Canis lupus familiaris: one gene and its partner. The protein of the gene in region 1 interacts with the protein of each later gene in a pairwise test. Links are inferred from orthologs where the notes say so. Each region holds a gene or a part of one and is shown on either strand. Other genes may lie near its edges.

Region 1 (4,099 bases):
GTCTCTGCCTCTCTCTCTCTCTCTGTGACTATCATAAATAAATAAAATTAAAAAAAAAAAAAAAAAAGGAAAGGGGCTCATCTTTTTCTTCATTTTTTGAATTACTAAAGGAGGGCAGCCTCTGTGGTGCAGCGGTTTAGCGCTGCCTGCAGCCCGGGGTGTGATCCTGGAGACCCGGGATCGAGTCCCACGTGGGGCTCCCTGCATGGAGCCTGCTTCTCCCTCTGCCTGTGTCTCGGCCTCTCTCTCTCTCTCTCTCTCTGTGTGTCTCTATGAATAAATAAATAAAATCTTAAAAAAAAAAAAAAAAAAAAAAGGAGGCAGGAGCAAAGGCCAAGCCCTCGCGGGAGCCGGGCCCATCCTTCAGCCCCAGGGGCTCCCTGAGGCCCTCCCCGGCTGGCCCGGAGCGCGAGGGCTGCCGGAGGCCCTGCCCTGTTTGCGGCGGGTCCCAGTCCCAGTCGGGAGCTCGCAGGTTCGGGCTCGGGGCGGCGCCCCTCGGACGGGTCCTCCGCGCCCCTGCGTGCGCCCCGCCCCGGGGGAGGGCGCCCCGCGACCTGGCTCCGCAGCGCGGCCTCGCGGGGACCCGGGCCTGCTGCCCTCGGGCCGCGACACCGCAGGGCCCCCCGCCCCCGCCCCCCCCCCCACTCCCTCCGCCCAAGAAAGAACGTCCAGGGTTCGGAGCACATTTTATTGTTTAAAAATCACAGCCGCGGCCTCCAAACCCGCGCGCCCGACACGGGCGTCCCGCGTGGGAAGCGTTTGTTCCGAGGGCCGGGCGGGCGGACAGACGGACGGGGCGGGGGGGGGGGGCGCCTCACTGCGCGTTCAGCTTCTTGGTGGCCTCGTCGATGGCAGCCAGCAGGCTGACCTTGAAGCTCTCCAGCACGGGCAGCAGGCCCTGGCGCAGGTCCTCGAGCGCGGGCCTGGCCTTCTCGCCGAGCGCGCTCAGCTGCTCGCTGGCCCTGGCGTGGTACTCGGCCAGGCTGGCGCCGCCGCCCTCCTTGAGCGCCTGCAGCCGCGCGGCCAGGCGCTCGCGCAGGTCGTCGCTGTAGGGGGCCAGCTGGGCGCGCAGCGCGTCCACGTGGGTGCGCGCGCGGTCCCGCAGCTCCTCGCCCAGCGGGCTCAGCTTCTCCTGCAGCTCCTGCAGCTTCTGGCGCGCGCCCTCGCGCAGCTCCGAGCCCAGCGGCGCCACCTTCTGGCGGTACAGCTCCACCTCCTCCTGCCACTTCTTCTGGAAGTCGTCCAGGTAGGGCTGCACCTTCTGCTTCACCTCCTCCAGGTCCTTGCTCATCTCCTGCCGCAGCACCTCCGTCTCCTTCTCCAGGTTATCCCAGAACTCCTGCGTGACCGGGCCGATCTGTTCGCGCAGCTTGGTCACCGTGCTGCTCAGGCTGTCCCAGTTGTCCAGGAGTTTCAGGCTGCAGGGGCGGGCGGAGCGAGGGCGTCAGGGCTGGCCTCCCGCGGAACCCCGGACAGCGCCCGAGCTGCGGGCCCGGCTCCCCGCGGCGGCCGGCGGTGAGGCCCGAGCAGCAGCTGCCCCCGCCGGGCGCCTCCCCCAGGGCAGCCTCTGGCGCGCACCCCGCGCACCCCGCGCCGCGTGCCCCGGTGCTGATGGACCGAGGAGCCGGGAGACACGGGGCTGGGTCGGGTGCCCCGTGCTGCCCGTCCCCAAAGCCGGGCCTCGAGGACCAGTCCCTATACTCCAGTCCATCGTCCGCTCCGAGAAGGCCGCCGGGTTGCTGGCCGGGAGCAGAGGAGGAAGGAGCTAAGGGTGGGGGGCGCGCTGCCGGGCGCACCTGCTCGGATCTAACCCCTTGCTGGGCGCTCCGTCCCTGTTCTCCCTAAAACGAGTTCTGAGACGGTGGTTATTGGGGGGATCCCGTTCCCGTTTCTCCAGGCCTTCAGTGGGGGCCCAGGAAATAGCAGGTGGGGATTCGGCTGGTCTGGCTGCATTTTCCCGCAGGCCTCTCTGTGCCCCCCAAACCGGCCACCCCTACCCCTGCCCCCTGCACCCCAGGTTGGGTCCATACTTCAGCTGTTTTCCCAGGGCGGAGGCTTCAAACTGGGCCACATAGTCTCTGCCGCTGTCTTTGACTGCGTCCACATACACGGTGGCTAAATCCTTCACCCGATCCCAGGGTGACTGGGGTTCATCTTGCTGCCAGAAGTGCCGAGCCTGGCTCCCTGGGGGTGAGAGGGGAGACCCAGGTCAGGCCCGCTCCAGAGGGCGATCGGGGCTGAAATGCCAGGCTTGCAGGCAGGGGTGAGGGGTCCGGGAGTGCCCAGGAGGGTGGCCCGCAGGAGCGTGGGAGAAGGGCCCCCACAGCAGTGGGCTTCCTAGATTGGGGTCACCTACCCGTGAGGAAGAGCACGGCCAAGGTCAGCAGTGCGGCTTTCATCCTGAAGGGACACAGGGGACCTGCGGGAGAAGAGGGTCCTGGTGAGTGGGGCGGCCGTTAGCGTGGAGGAGCCCTGTGCGCCCCCACCCGTTCTTCTGGGGCAGGAGAGGGTCCCCAGGCAGGGCACAGCCCGCAGCCAGGCCCCCGGAGTCCCAGGGACAGGGCCCGGGCTGGGGGACAGGCAGCGGCACTCACCAGGCGCTCAGGAGCCTGCCGGGCCCGCTCTCCCCGCCTATTTATGTCTCCGGGCAGGGGCAGGGGCCCGGCAGGGAGGCTGATAAGCCCAACCCAGGCCTTGCTGCTGCTGCTCACTGGTCCCAGCCATGTGGAACTCAGAGTTCAAGGATCATCCCTGTCCCCGGGGCCGGACAAATAGAGTGGGCAAACAGGAGGCTGCGCGGGGGCCACCAGGCCAGGGATCAAGGGGTCAGACGGTACTGGGGACTGGGGGGGGGGTGGGGTGGTTGCAGGCTTGCAGGTCCCCAGGATCGGGGTCCTCTGCACCCATCCCTCCTGGTGGTGGTGGTGCTGGGAGGGATGTGTCCCCCACTGTCCCCTGTGCCCGTGGAGCAGGGGAGTGGAGGGACTGAAGCAAGAGACAGCGGCTGGCCAGGGACCGCTGGGCCTCCTCCCGTCAGGAGGTGTGCTCCCCCACAGCCCCTTAGATTCCAGGGAGATTACTTTGCCCCCACCCTGCCTTTCTTCTCCAGAGGCAGCGGTCTTCCCACCAACACGCTGTGGCCTGTTTTGTCCCAACAGGTCAGCAGACCTCTCTGCAGGCTCTCTCAGGCCTCCCAAACCCTTGACCCAAGGGGCCTGTGGTGCCAGGAAGTGACCTGGGGACCCTGGGGAGGGCTCCGTGCTTCCCAGGTAGAGACTTGGGTGGGGGGGGCTCTGACATTTCAAAACAAAATCTAGAGACCCACTCGGAGTTGCCAACTTTTTATTTTGTCGCGTAAAAAAGTCAACCACTGTCTCCCCCAAATGCCACCCTCTGCCGCGCCCAGCACTTCAAAAGAGAAAAGATTTTTTTTTTTTAACATCATGAAAGGGCACAATGTCAGAACAAAGGGCAGGCACTTCAGTTGAATCCGTGTATCTTTGCCTGGTTCCTGTTTACATTGGAGTGCACACAGTGAGGGGCATACCGGACTTTAGGGGTCCCCGCGGGGGTGGGGAGGAGACCTCTGCAGTGGGAGGCCACAGGGGAGCTGGTTACTCGCTTCGCTCTGCCCCCGATTTGCAAAATCCTGGAGGAGGATCGCGAGCCAGTGCTGTAATGTCTCCGAGCCTCGGTTTCCTCTCAGTAGAAGGAGACAAAAATGGCTCGAGCCGTTGGAGGCGCAGGGAGCCCCGGTAACGCAGAGCACCCTGTGCCCGGGCTGTCGGCAGCGCCGCTCGGCAGGGCTTCTCCCGGGAGGCCCAGCGCCTCGGACGCCAGCTCACGGCAGGGCCTGAGTCAGAGCCATCAGCCGGCGGCCTCCCCCCGCCCCGCCACCTTGCACACCAGGAAGCTGGGGACAGGGGAGCCTTGTGCCCTCTGCCTCTGGTCTCTCGGCACGTCGGAGGCAGGGATGGACTTTGGATGCACCCGGGATAGAAATGCACCCTGCATCATCTGCCCAGGAATCTCCCTGCTGTCCTCCAGGTCCCAGGGCTGCCCGGCTCCGGGCTGCTCCCACGGTAGCCGGTCTCCTGAT
Region 2 (4,507 bases), on another chromosome or scaffold:
GACTTCTGTCTCAGTTTCTTCCTCTGTAAAATAGGGGCAGAGACAGCACCCACCTACGGGGAGTTTTGTGAAAAGGTAATGTTTAGGGTTTTTGTTTGTTTCGGATTGTGAATAATTATTCCACCAAGTATTACTGAGCGCCTACACCATGCCCAGTCCTGTGTGGGACTATGCCTGGGGACAGTGGTGATGACGTCCTGGCCCAGTCCTCCTGGGCTCACAATCCAGTAGGAAAGACAGACCCATTACTAGGCAGTGATGACCCAGCCTGAGGTCTAAGAAGGGCTTCCTGGAGGAGGGGCATCATCCATTTTAAGTATAATAAAGACCTACTGTTCATGGTGTTGAACCAACCCGGTCCCTCATCTTGGGCAGCCCAGTCGGGAAAGAATATAGCAGAGAAACAGCTCTCCCATTCCTGACAAGTGACTTCACCTCTGTGGGCCCCCATGCCCTCGTGGAATTAACAGGGCCCCTGCTCCCGAGGTTCTTGTGAGGATTTTTTTGAGACCATGAAGTTCAAAGTCCTTGGCACAGGTCAAGTAGACAACGTTCAATACATTTGAATCCTTGCCTCCTCAAAAGATGCAGCCCCCTCTCCCCCCCAGCAAAAGACCACTCAGATTTCTCTATAGGATTTTTATTGGAGGTTGGGGGTAGACATGAACATCATGAAGTCCTTGGCAAGGAGCCAGGGGATGGGAAATTTCAGAGCCCCCTCCTGGGGCACACAGGCCAGAGTAGAGGGGCGGCTCTCCTGGTGTTCAGGAGAAGGCAGTTTTGAGATGCTCCTTCACTTTCTTGAAAGCCTCAGAAAACCAGTTTCTGCAGGGAGAGATGGGGGAGGAGTCACTGAGTTTGGTGTTTCAGGGCAGGTCAGAGGGCCCAAATCCTGCCTCCTACCTGCCTCCCCCATCTTCCCTTTTCCCTTCCCCCAAGGACAGAGCATGGTTCCCACATCTGTGGAACTGGGAGGAGCCCTGGGCTGGATTTCCCAGATGGGCCAGAGCCCTTTGAAGTCAGAACACTCCACCCTGGGCACAACTTTCAAGGCTTGCTATCTCTTGCTACCAAGCCTGCTCTTGGCACGCTGTCCCCTAGTTATTCAGGGGCACTCTTCAGCCTTCTTGTTTTTTGCCCAGGCTGTGTCCCTGGCCTGGATTATGTTCATATCTTCCTGGCTCAGGGCCTTTGCACTCACCCTCCACAGGAACATTCTTCCCATGTTTCTAGGCCTGGCTGGATTTTCCTAATCACTCAGATCTCTCTCTCTCTCTCTCGTTCTCTCTCTCTCTCTCTTTTAAAGTAAGACAGCCAGGCTTCATGTAGGTTTGAACTCACCACCCTGAGATCAAGACTGGAACTGAGATCAAGAGTCTGAAGCTTAACCTACTGAGCCACCCAGGCGCCCTGAAGCAATAACACTTTAAATTGAGATATGAAAAGGGGAGTCTGGCTGGCTCAGGAGGTATTATATACAACTCTTGATCTCAGGGTCATGAGTTCAAGCCCCACACTGGTTGTCTACATCCACCCTGTTTATTGTCTTCTCAGTATTTAGCCCCGTCTGGGCTGACCTGCTGGAAATTCACTGGTTTACAATCTGTTCCCTGTGGGCTGGGACTTTATCTCATTCATCACTATTATTCCCCACACTGGAACAATCCTGGACACTTAGCAGATGCCCAATAAATACTTGTTCATGAATGAATGATCCTCTAATCTAAGTGGCCAAATGGAGTCACTGTTGGTTAAAAAGCATACTGAGCATTTACCATGTGTCAGGCACTATGCAAATCCCCTAGTTTACTTCTCCTCAGAACCATCCATGTAACAGAGGAGGAAGAAGGCTCATCCAGATCTATTCTGGAATCACACAAAGAGAACTGAGTCTTTGCTAGCCTGTGGACCTGGGGTGACTCGACACCCAAGCTCGGCCTTTTACCACCTCACAGGACCACTTCTACACTGTGGCCTAGGTAGGAGTCAGGAACCTGTCCCCCACATCTGGGCACCCTGCGATCCAGCCATGACCACATGGAAGCTGTCAGCCTCTCCAGGTCTCAGTTTCCCCAATCTGTTAATGATATACCCCAGCCCTCCCAAACCCTGAGAAGGTTCCTAACCGGGTCTTTGCAGGAATGTCGCTCTTCTTGATGCTCTCAATGGCTGCCCGGGCCTTGTCTTCCAGGGTGTTACCAAACTCCTTCAGCTTATCCGGGATGCGCTCAAAAGTGCTGGAGATTTCTCCGGCCGCCTGGGCGGGGGCTGGACCTGCCCAGAGACGGGCAGGGTTACAAAAATGTCAGTATTGGGAAGCCTCAGGCTGAGATTCTGGGGACGGGAAAGGAGATCTTTAAATGATTCTTGGAGGTCATGGCTTTAGGCTGGGAAGGGGAGGGGGGAAGATGGACTAAGGCGACCAGATGGAGCTCAAGCTGCCGGGAATTAGCTTACTGTCAGGCCTCCCTCCTCCCCCTCCCCTTTCCAGGTTGTAAAAGCAGGACAGCCAATCCTGGAGGGGCAAGTCAATACATCATCTGTTGCTAGGGCTTCCTGAGGTAGACTTGCCACCTGCCGGCCCTCCCCTTAGAGCACCCTCACCCACCTTGCCCGGTTGGGGGTGGGGTGATTGGTGAGAGATAGGAAAACCAGGGCACAGAAGGGGCCCCAGAGCTCTCAAGCGTCCTCCAAGCTTGGAGCCCAGGCACGTAGGCAGCTTCAAGCTTCCAAATCTCAAACCCCCAGATTCTTCTATCCCGCTTTTACCTTCCAAAACCATCGACAGAACCACCACCAAAACCGGGAGCGACAGAATGAGCCTCATGGCGGGGCCGGAGGGGCTCTCTGGAAGCAGAAGCAGGGGTGGGAGCGATCAGTGACACCCCTCCTCCCTCCCCGGAGTTCCCTCCACCCCTTTTCTAGTGTTCTTGGAGGGGCAGCCCTCCCGGGGCATCAGGGGCATCAGGTATCGAGCACCAACCTGGAGCGGTCTCGGAAAGCGCAGGTGGGAGGTCCTGGCCTGGCCCAGGCCTTTATCGGGCTGGGGTGGAGGCGGGGCAGGTTAATCCCTCCCCTTAAGCCTCCGGGCCGCTGGCCTCCCCCCACTCCCGTGCCCACCCACCATTTCCTCTTCCCTGCCTGGCTGGTGGGCTGCGGGGGTCAGGTGGGCCTGGGCACATCCCTTGTCCCTTAAGCCACTTGCTGTTCAGCACCTGCACCTCTAAATCTCCCTGTTGGTGGATCTCAGCCTGCCATAGTCCCTTCCCTACATGTGAGGGCTGGGGGCGTGTTTCTCCTGCTGAACTCAAGGGTCTCTCTGTCACCGAGCATCTCTGTAATTTGCTGGAACTCTCCAGGCCTCCTCTTCCATCCCCTTTCTCTTCTTAGCAAGCCTCTTCAGCGCAAGCAACTCCCAACTCCATGACTCCAGGGTCACCCAGTCTACCCCCACATTCCTAGACCCTGGCCACTTCCAGTCTCACTTGCAGACCAGCCCTCAAGCCCCCCACCTCTCTGCATCTGGGAGCATCCCAGACCTCCACGGATGTGCTCTGAGGTCTTCATTCCACAGCCCCCTCCCCTGCCCCATGCACATCGATCTTTGGGGCAGGAATCTTTGCAACCTGTCTCAACTGCAAAACCCCAGCTGCAAGGATCCCAGGGTGTGCGCCTCCATCCATTCCACCAGGCCCCTCCTAGCCCTTTGCTCTCCCACTCTGCGAGCTTCCGGGCCCCCTGGTAAACAGTGCATCTGCCCTTGCCCCTTCGGGCCCCTCCTGGCACCAAGCTCTCCCCCCCTCCCCTGTCTCTCCTCCCACCACATCCGTCCCTCAGGGCTGGAGTCCAATGCTTCCCCCCTTCCTCTGGCTGCCTTTGACCGCCAGTGATCCCTGGCAGCTGTGGGGAGGGTGGCCCTGGCCTCAGACTTGAGGTTGGCTGGCCTTGTGCCCCCACAACCACGTGTCAGCCTGGGGGTGGTGGTGGGAGGGGACGGTTATGAAAGGGACGCACAGACATGACCCTGGCAGGATTGCGACAACCCCTTGGCTGGCTCAGTGCATCCAGACCCTGTCAGCCCTCCAGCTGCCTTCCCAGACATCTGCTTCCCCTGCGAGCCTAGCATTCCCCAGACATCCACCCAGAGGTCTCTTCTCCTTCCTTCCCCACCCCACCGGAATAGAAGAATGACTTGGCTTTTCCAGTCTCCTCCTCCTCATGCTAGCTACAGGGGTTTCCATTTACAGATGGGGAAACCGAGGCACAGCCAAGAACATTCAATGGCTCAGCACCATTGGGGCGAAGGGAGGGGTGGCTCTCTGTCTGTCCCCTTTCTGGACTTCAGGCTGCCCCTCTGAATCTCTGAGGGGGATCAGCTTCTGCCCCACAGCACCCCCTGCCAGGCTCTGTTCCCCAAAACTTCTCCAGCCCTGGTGCCATCTCTAGACCTGACTGCTGTCTTCATCCATGAGAACCCAAGATTCAGTTCTTCAAGGGGGAGACACGG

The links.
Region 2: the proteins of APOA1 (region 1) and APOC1 interact in a two-hybrid assay, tested with the Homo sapiens proteins (2 studies listed by BioGRID, with this or other methods). The link is inferred for Canis lupus familiaris from reciprocal best matches to the Homo sapiens genes APOA1 and APOC1.

Annotation. Positions count from the first base shown.
Region 1 is NC_049226.1:16,767,532-16,771,630, reverse strand, and holds APOA1 (apolipoprotein A-I), read right to left. Parts: upstream 2,688-4,099; 5' UTR 2,595-2,687; intron 2,420-2,594; 5' UTR 2,400-2,419; coding exon 2,357-2,399; intron 2,185-2,356; coding exon 2,031-2,184; intron 1,419-2,030; coding exon 815-1,418; 3' UTR 675-814; downstream 1-674. UniProt on the Homo sapiens protein: Participates in the reverse transport of cholesterol from tissues to the liver for excretion by promoting cholesterol efflux from tissues and by acting as a cofactor for the lecithin cholesterol acyltransferase (LCAT).
Region 2 is NC_049222.1:111,228,242-111,232,748, forward strand, and holds APOC1 (apolipoprotein C-I precursor), read right to left. Parts: upstream 3,010-4,507; 5' UTR 2,984-3,009; intron 2,848-2,983; 5' UTR 2,828-2,847; coding exon 2,770-2,827; intron 2,275-2,769; coding exon 2,127-2,274; intron 826-2,126; coding exon 765-825; 3' UTR 625-764; downstream 1-624. UniProt on the Homo sapiens protein: Inhibitor of lipoprotein binding to the low density lipoprotein (LDL) receptor, LDL receptor-related protein, and very low density lipoprotein (VLDL) receptor.